2 linked regions of the Canis lupus familiaris genome follow. The protein of the gene in region 1 purifies or fractionates together with the protein of each later gene. This does not show direct contact. Links are inferred from orthologs where the notes say so. Each region holds a gene or a part of one and is shown in the gene's direction. Other genes may lie near its edges.

The links.
Region 2: the proteins of FIBP (region 1) and C2CD5 purify together in Homo sapiens (affinity purification with mass spectrometry; 3 studies listed by BioGRID and IntAct, counting the BioPlex papers as one, with this or other methods). This does not show direct contact. The link is inferred for Canis lupus familiaris from reciprocal best matches to the Homo sapiens genes FIBP and C2CD5.

The regions. Positions count from the first base shown.
Region 1 is NC_049239.1:51,878,081-51,882,383, forward strand, and holds the start of FIBP (acidic fibroblast growth factor intracellular-binding protein), read left to right. Parts: upstream 1-1,500; 5' UTR 1,501-1,621; coding exon 1,622-1,706; intron 1,707-1,910; coding exon 1,911-2,109; intron 2,110-2,311; coding exon 2,312-2,438; intron 2,439-3,290; coding exon 3,291-3,391; intron 3,392-3,881; coding exon 3,882-4,015; intron 4,016-4,303. UniProt on the Homo sapiens protein: May be involved in mitogenic function of FGF1. May mediate with IER2 FGF-signaling in the establishment of laterality in the embryo.
Region 2 is NC_049248.1:21,832,463-21,836,744, reverse strand, and holds the start of C2CD5 (C2 domain-containing protein 5), read left to right. Parts: upstream 1-1,479; 5' UTR 1,480-1,694; intron 1,695-1,838; 5' UTR 1,839-1,873; coding exon 1,874-1,963; intron 1,964-4,282. UniProt on the Homo sapiens protein: Required for insulin-stimulated glucose transport and glucose transporter SLC2A4/GLUT4 translocation from intracellular glucose storage vesicle (GSV) to the plasma membrane (PM) in adipocytes.

The DNA.
Region 1 (4,303 bases):
AATTTCCTCACGCTCTAGCCTAGGCCTCTCGACTCTTTCTGAGAACTTAGACTCCGGTGTCGGCCACCGACTCTCAAGCCCACCCCTGACGGAACCCAGAGGGGTCTCGTCTCCAACTTTTCTAGCTTAATTCATGCTCGAGAGTCTCGGCTCATTGAACATCACTTCCAGCTCTTCGGAACCCGGAGTCCAAACGTGCCTGGCTCACCATCAGGCTACCCTCTTAAGGATGGTTTCCTGTCCAGGGTGGGGGCGGAGGGTGGGGAGGCACATACAGGGATTCATTTATTCAATAAACTTTTACTGTGTGCAAAGCTCGGGCAGAAATAAACTTGACTAAGATTCTGATCCTGTCCTCAAAGAGGTCATAATTTAGTGGGGGAGACAGGCTGTGTTAAACAAGAAGTAAACGCGGGGAGAGACATGGTCCAGAAAGGTTTCCCCGAAGAGGTGGTAATCTGAGGGGCCCTGAAAGATGTATAGGACTTTGATGAGTAAAGAGCTATTTCAGCAAGCAGGAATAGCGTGGTGAAACACCATGGGGGCCTAGCTGCTTTAGGAACCCTGAGAGTAGCTCATTGTTTTCAAAAGATGGGTGTGTGGAGAAAATGGTAACCTGAGGGAGAGAAGCCACAAAGGTAGTTGGCAGGAACGTTGCCACAGGCAAGTAGGATTTTAAGCAGGGGAGTAACATTTTAAAATATACATTAAAAAAATTATTCAGGCTGTTCTGTGTGGGATGCACCAAGGGGAAGAGATGTAGGCAGGGAGATTAGTAAAAAACACTGTGTCAATGGGCAAGGTAGAGCCATGCAGGACTGGGCTGGAACAGTGCCCGTAGGGGTGGAGAGGACGAAACCTAGAAATACTCAGGAAGCAAATCAGCAGAACTGAATGTGAGGAAAGAGGACTCTGGGAGAAAACCCAGGGTTCTGGCATGAGAACTGGGTAAATGTTGGGACTATCACTGAGATAGGAACGAAGGAAAGAAACAGATTGGAAAAAAGGCTGTCTAGCTTTTGAGGGGCCTGTAGGGAAACAGCGTAGAAAAACAAGCAGCTCGGCAGCCCTCCTGATGTGGACTTCCCAGGCAGAGCTCCGAGCTCCGAGTAAGAGAAGTCATTAGTGCGGGGCGGGCTGGGATGGGGGCGACGAGGGTTAAAACCAATGGCCCTTGGACATTAGGTCAGACACACTTTCTGCAGAGAAAAGATTCAGGACAGAGATCTGTGAAACTCCTACATTTAAGACACAAGTCAAAGTAGGGAGGCCCAGAAAAGGGCAGAGAAAGGGGGAGATGGGGGAAGGTGGCCGGCGCTGGGGCCACTAGCTGTTGGCCTCGACTCCCCTGCGCCTTCCGGCAAGCCCCGCCAGGAGACGAGCGGGGGTGAGGACAGGGGGCGGGGACCCGGGGGCTGCCCCTCCCGCTGGGAGGAGGGGCTACTCCGCCGCCGCCGCTTCTGCCCCACCCTCTCTGTCCCGGAAGTGGTCCTTCTCTGGCTCCGGGTGCCGGGAGCCGAAGCCCCGCGCTCCCGGAAGTAGCCTGCCGGCGGCGCGCCGGACCCGGGGAGTGCTCGCTCCGGCTGGGGCGCTGCAGCTGCGCCCGGGTCCGGGCGTCGCCATGACCAGCGAGCTGGACATCTTCGTGGGGAACACGACCCTCATCGACGAGGACGTGTATCGCCTCTGGCTGGATGGTTACTCGGGTGTGTGGGGGGCCGTCTGCGGAGCGGGTTAGAAGAGCGATTGTTTGGGATGGGAGACGGAGCGGGGCCGGGAATTCCGTCCTGTGGGGAACTGGGCAGGGGGAGTGAGGGATGTTTAGGAGTTGGACTTGGAGTTGGACTTGGGATCCCCGGAGGGCCTGTGGGTTCGCGGAGCGGGGCCTAACGGTATCGCCCACTCCCCAGTAAGTGACGCAGTGGCCCTGAGGGTGCGCTCGGGAATCCTGGAGCAGACAGGCGCCACGGCAGCGGTGCTGCAGAGCGACACCATGGACCACTACCGAACTTTCCACATGCTCGAGCGCCTGCTGCACGCACCGCCCAAGCTGTTGCACCAGCTAATCTTCCAGATCCCGCCCTCTCGGCAGGCGCTGCTCATTGAGAGGTGGGGATGCCAACCGAACTGACCATATACCCATTTTGCAGGCCGAAACTGAGGCCCGGGATGGGATGGGACTTACACAGGGTCTAAGAAAGTTGAGACCTTCTCAACTGAGATGGTCTCTGGAGGGACCAAACCTGGGCCCTGCCGGACCCCCTTTCCCCTCCTATGTGGAAAGTCAGTGGTGTCCTCTGCCTCCACGCAGGTACTATGCCTTTGACGAGGCCTTTGTGCGGGAGGTCCTGGGCAAGAAGCTGTCCAAGGGCACCAAGAAAGACCTGGATGACATCAGCACCAAAACAGGCATCACCCTCAAGAGCTGCCGGAGACAAGTGGGCACTGCACCCCTGCTCCCCAATGCAACATCCCATGTCCAGTCTGCCCCTTCACTCCATCCCTTTGGTCACTGCCCCAGCTCCATTCTCCTCCCTCACCTCTGATTGTGGGAGGGGCTTCATACCCAGTCTCCTGTCCCTTCTTTTGCTCCTCCAAAGCATCTCCTACTCTCCTGTGGGAGCTACTCTTTCAGAAGCTCAGATCTGACCATAGCTTTTCCCTCCTCAGAAACTTTAATTGGCTCTTCCACTCCATCCTGGATAGTAGCCACATTCCTTGGCCTTGACCTTCATACTCCTCCATGGTCTGGTCTCTGCCAGCCTTTCTCAGCTTATATTTCTCCAGCGCCCCTGCCTTTCTTTTTGCTCCAGCTACTTTTCCCTGGAGGGTACTATTCTTGGCCTTATCTACCCCTTGAAATACAAAGCAGGGAGCCAGATGCCACCTTCTACGCAAACCTTTCTGGTGGCCCAAGAAGAAGTAACCCTTCTGGGCCTATAGTATTTTTTCTGTGTCTTTTGTGCACTCTCTCTTTACAGTTTAGCATTTGCTCATTTTTTACTTCCTGGACCTTAGCCAGGAGGATCAGTTTCAGCACAAGTTCGCGAAGAACTGGAGAGCATGATGCTAAAATAGGGGAATTCAGAGATAGAAATGAGTAAACATTTATCCAAGACAAAATGGTTGAATTGGTAACAGGTATTAACAGTTAATAGTTTATCGAAGAATACCACATGCTAAGTCTGTTGACTGGATAGATGGCTAGGTAAGGGAGGGATGTTTAATAATCAGTTTATTGGATGACCAATCTCTGACCAGTCCTCCCTCCTCCCCTAACTGCCCTACAGTTTGACAACTTTAAGCGAGTCTTCAAGGTGGTGGAGGAAATGCGGGGTTCCCTGGTGGATAACATTCAGCAACACTTCCTCCTGTCTGACCGGTTGGCCAGGTGAGGGGGGTCGGGCAAGGAGCCAGCCATCTCCCCTTCCTGCACCCTCCTTCCTTGGGCTGTGAAGCAGGACCACCTTCCCCACCCCAACCCACTTGACCTCCCTGCTGCATTGGGGGGATGGCTATCCTACGCCTGGCCTGCACTTTGGATCAAGCTGGCCTGGCTTCAGATCCCAGGTTCCATTTACCAATGGAACTGTTGTGAGATGCCACACATAAAGCCCATAGTATAACCCCTGGGGCTTAGGAAGTGCTCAGTAAATGGTAACTGTTATCCTGAGGTCTTCTTCTGTACCCCTTAGGAGACCTGGGCTGAAACCTCTGTACACAAACAAGGAGGCCCAGAGAAAAGTGGCCTGAAGCATGTCATGTAGTGAGCTGGGGCAGAGACAGGCCAGAAGTCAGATGTCTGGCCAATGTCGCAGGTGCAAGCTGCTTGCTAAAAAGGAATTTGAAACCCTGACAGGCCCACTTTCCCCTTCCTGCAGGGACTACGCAGCCATTGTCTTCTTTGCCAACAACCGCTTCGAGACAGGGAAGAAAAAACTGCAGTATCTGAGCTTTGGAGACTTTGCCTTCTGTGCTGAGCTCATGATCCAGAACTGGACCCTCGGAGCCGTCGGTGAGGCCCCCACTCACCCAGGTGCCCGGATGCCTCTCCACGCTCTCAGAGCCTGGTTCCCCACCAGCACTTTATCCTGCGGGCCCCATTTTCGGGCATCCTTTCTTCAGTGCCCACAACACAGCCGCCACTGCTCATAACCCAGTGTCCCACACCCAGCTTGTCTGTGCACAAAGGACCTGCTGCTGGTCTGTGGCCTGAGGTGTCACTTCACCTTTCTGATACTTCCTTGTCTGTCTTGTGGGGGTTTGTTGAGGTGGTGGGTGTGTAAGGCTCCGGATATCACTG
Region 2 (4,282 bases), on another chromosome or scaffold:
ATCCTGGGGACCCAGGATCAAATCCCACATCGGGCTCCCAGCGTGGAGCCTGCTTCTCCCTCTGCCTGCCTCTCTCTCTCTCTCTCTCTCATAAATGAATAAATTAAAAAAAAAAATCTTAAAAAAAAAAAACAAAAAAGGTGTATCAGTTTAGGGCACCAGGATGGCTCAGCCTGTGCATCCAACTCTCGGGTTTTAGTTCAGGTCATGGTCTCAGGGTCCTCAGGTCCAGTCCTGCAAAGGGGTCCAGGCTCAGTGCAGAATCTGCTCTGGGTCCTATCCCTCTCCTTTTGCCTCCCCACACCCCCATGCTTTCTCTCTCTCAAATAAAGAAATCTTTTTTTTTTTAAATTTTATTTATTCATGAGAGACAGACACAAACAGAGATGCAGAGACATAGGCAGAGGGAGAAGTAAGCTCCCCATGGAGCAGGGAGCTGGATGTGGACTCCATCCCAGGACCCCAGGATCAGGCCTAAGCCACCCAAGCAACCAAGATAAGTATCTTAGAGAAAACGTGTATCACTTAAAAAAAAAAAAAAAAATCATTTGGTCATGTTCCAATCCTGTTGAATCCAGTGGTTAAAACAACAACAACAAAAAACTTTCTATGGTAATTGATAATGGTGATTTTGGTATTTGATATAGTATATACTGTTAATGCTGTTTTCCATATTTGGCGTAGGGGGACTTGTGTCACATCCCGTGCGTGTGCCTCAGTTTCCCAAATTTTTTCCTGATGGTTTCTTATAGATTTTGCCTCTTTTTTTGCATGTTTATTTACACATGTAATTAGGCCGATTGTTCAAGCGGTTTCATTAAGCTCGGCTGGTTCTTTCTTTGCAGTTGACTAGAAACTTCAAAAGGTAGGAGGTCCTGACCTCCGGCCAGTAAAGCAGGTCGTCGGCTTGTTGACGCTTAATAAACGAACTGAGCCTATGCAGGCATGCAGGGGAAACTCCTTCGGTGGCTTTGGATTTCAAAGTTCTGTTTTTCCCCAAGACCTACAGTAACACGTGTATACGACTGAAAAAATAAAAAATGTTGCTATGTATGCAATACTTACTTGACCAGGACCCAAGATGTCCCTGAAATTTCTTACCCTCCTTCATATGCGACAAGAACTGCATCCCTTCCAGGCAGAACCAGGTAAACTGATTTTTACAACCCACTGAGGAGGACTGGTGGCTACAGGCCGCCTGAAATCGCTTCTCTAGCAGTCTGCGCCGCCGCTCCTTCGGTCACACCCCTCGAGAATGCGGCGCTCGCAGCCGGGAAGCCACCGAGACCTCCGGGCACCCCGCCCCCCGCGACCCGGGCCGCTCCGAGGCAGGCAGGCAGGCAGGCGCCGACCCGCCGCGCCGGCTCGGTGGATGATGCAGGGCTCGACCAACTTCCCTGTGCAGTCCGCCCCGCCCCCTCCATCTGCTCTCGGCGAATTTAATTCCTCCTCGGCGAAGCGGGCCGAGCGCCGAAAGATCGATGCTTCCCTCACGCCCCGAGAGCCGCCATTTTGGGGGGAGGAAAACACCAGGACGGGTTGGCAGAACCTGCGCGGGATGCTCATGGGCTTTTGCTTCTCTCGCCAGCGCTGTGGGGCCGGGGTAGAGGAATCCTCCGGGGCCACTCCTCCGGCTGCCTCTCCGGCATGAGGCCTCAGCGCCCGCGCGGGACGGCCCCCTCATTCATCCGAGAGTGAGTGGCGATCGGCGGCGTGGCGCGCCCTCCGCTATCAGTTATCCCGCGCGCCCCCGGCTGCGCGCGCGGCTCCTTGCGCGCTCCCGCCCCTCCCCCGCCCGGCGCGGAGCTCGGCGCAGACTCGCTTGTTTGTTTCTGCAGGAGCCCAAGAAGAGGCCGAGGCCGAGGCCGGGAAGATGCCTGGGAAGCTGAAGGTGAAAATCGTGGCCGGGCGCCATTTGCCAGTGATGGACCGAGCTAGTGACCTGACTGATGCCTTCGTGGAGGTTGGTGCAAGGTCCTGTCCCTCAAAACACAGGGAGAGTCAAGCCCCTGTGCAGGAGCCTACCCACCTCGCCCCCAGCTCGTCAGCCCACTCTCCTTCCGACTGCCGTCCTTTGTGCGGTGCTCGTCCAGCCTTCCCTGGAGGGCCGACTGCCCAGACTGCAGCCCCTGTGATGGGTGCACCGCTCCCGGGCATCTGCGGCGTCCTCCGCCGCGCGGGGAGGCAGTTCCTGCTCTGCATGCTGGGGTGACCCTGAGGTCAGGACTCCTAACAGGCCAGCTGCCAGTCGGCAGGAGATCCCGAGGCGTGGCCGCGCAGCCACCAGAACGCGCGCGCGCGCACACACACACACAGACACACACACACACACACACACACACCTGTGTACGTTCTTCTGTTTAAGGAGGGGTGGCCTCTCAAACCAAAGTAATGCAGATCACGTCAGGATGGTAGATACAGCCCGTTATGGGCACTTGCTAGGTCTCCAAGGCGAGGCGATCGCACTCTTGAGCGTAACATTCTCTGAGTCATCAGTGTTAAGTCTTAAAAGACAACCCCAGCGCTTTCTGCTCTTGTATAGACTGGTAGATCCGATGAGCTGTTTTAGGGTAATTTAGTGCCTAGAGGTAGGAAGCCAATTAAGTGCCATGGATTTCAATTGCAAAATTGCTTTTTAAGCCAGATGATTAGTTTAAAACTCATGCAAATTAGCACAGGCCTAGGGCCCCGGAAAGTAATAACCCAGAGTCTGAAGGAAGCCAAGTAAAAATTGTAATAAAAACTGACTTGAGGGCAGCCCGGGTGGCTCAGCGGTTTAGCGCCACTTCAGCCCAGGGCCTGATCCTGGAGACCCCCACGTCGGGCTCCCTGCATGGAGCCTGCTTCTCCCTCTGCCTGTGTCTCTGCCCTGCTCGCGCTCTTTTTCATATTAATAAATAAATAAAATCTTAAAAAGAAAACCTGACTTGATGAGCCAGAGCATTAGAATGATAATCATCTGGGCTGGTAATGCTTAGAGTTGACAGCTACAGGATAATAAACAACCTTCTTTCATCTCAACATAAAATATTCTTGATGTTCCCTAAAGGTTCTCTGACTTAATAACTGCAGTTTCTTACCCCCCCCCTCAACATTGCTGTGGTAATTCTTAATCCCAGCTTCATTTTCGCTTGAGAACCAGATGCTGAGTGTGTTCTTGGGCCAGATGTCAGGTAATGGGGATACACGGATTACCAAAGCGTAGTTGCTTTCAGGTAGCTCAGAGACTGACTCATGCAGTTTAGGTTAATTAATAGTTATCGTGTTGAGTCTCATTATAGGTCTTTGCTAACTACTTTTTAATTCTAACTCCTCATAACAGGCCTGCTATTCTATTATCCCGTATTATAGTTAAGGTAACCGAGGCCTAGGAATAGTAAATAATTTGCCTAGGGTTTCTTAACCTAATAAATAAACTTGTGGTCTGTTCTCTTAACCACCGTGCTAACATTACCTCTCTAGACAAGTTGATGAGTGTTGTACAATATAGAAACTTCATTCTGTCTCTGAAGGTTTAGGAAGTTTTCCTAAGAAAATGACATTTGACCTGAACCTTGAACGTTGAATGACGATCAGGATTTTACTAGGTAGAGGGAACATCAAAGGCACAGAATGGGGTACATGGTATGTTTACGGAACTATCTTAATTTGAGATGTGTCTGGAGTAAAAGGCAGTAATTGGGCAGTAGAGGTTATAGGGGATGAGGCTGGAAAGGTAGGTTGGTGCTAAATCTCATGTTCTGTACTGCATAATTTTTCTTTTCTATAAGCAGGGGTAAGCAAAGCAATTTTTTTTTTAAAGATTTCACTTCATTTATTCATGAGACACACACACACACACACACACACACGGGAGGGGGGGCAGAGACACAGGCAGAGGAGCCCAATGTGGGACTGAATCCTGGGACCCCGGGATCACGCCCTGACCCAAGACAGATGCTCAACCGCTGAGCCACCCAGTTGTCCCAGCAAAGCACTTTTTAAGAAGAAATGAAATATGATGCTGTATTAGGTTGTTTATAGGAGGACTTGTGTGATAATGTTATTGATGGACTGGACAGATGAGAGATGAGACAGGGAGATGAGTTGAGAAGGTGGTAAGATTATCCAGGCAATATGTGCGTGTCAAGAATGGCTGTGGGAACTGATTAGAGGAGAAAAACATGAGGGACATAGGTAAAATCATCATGTCTTGGTAATAAATGGTTTTTGCTGCTGAGGGAGGGGTTTTATTCAAGAATGACTTTTTTAATTTTAATCTTAAAATATTTTATTTATTCAT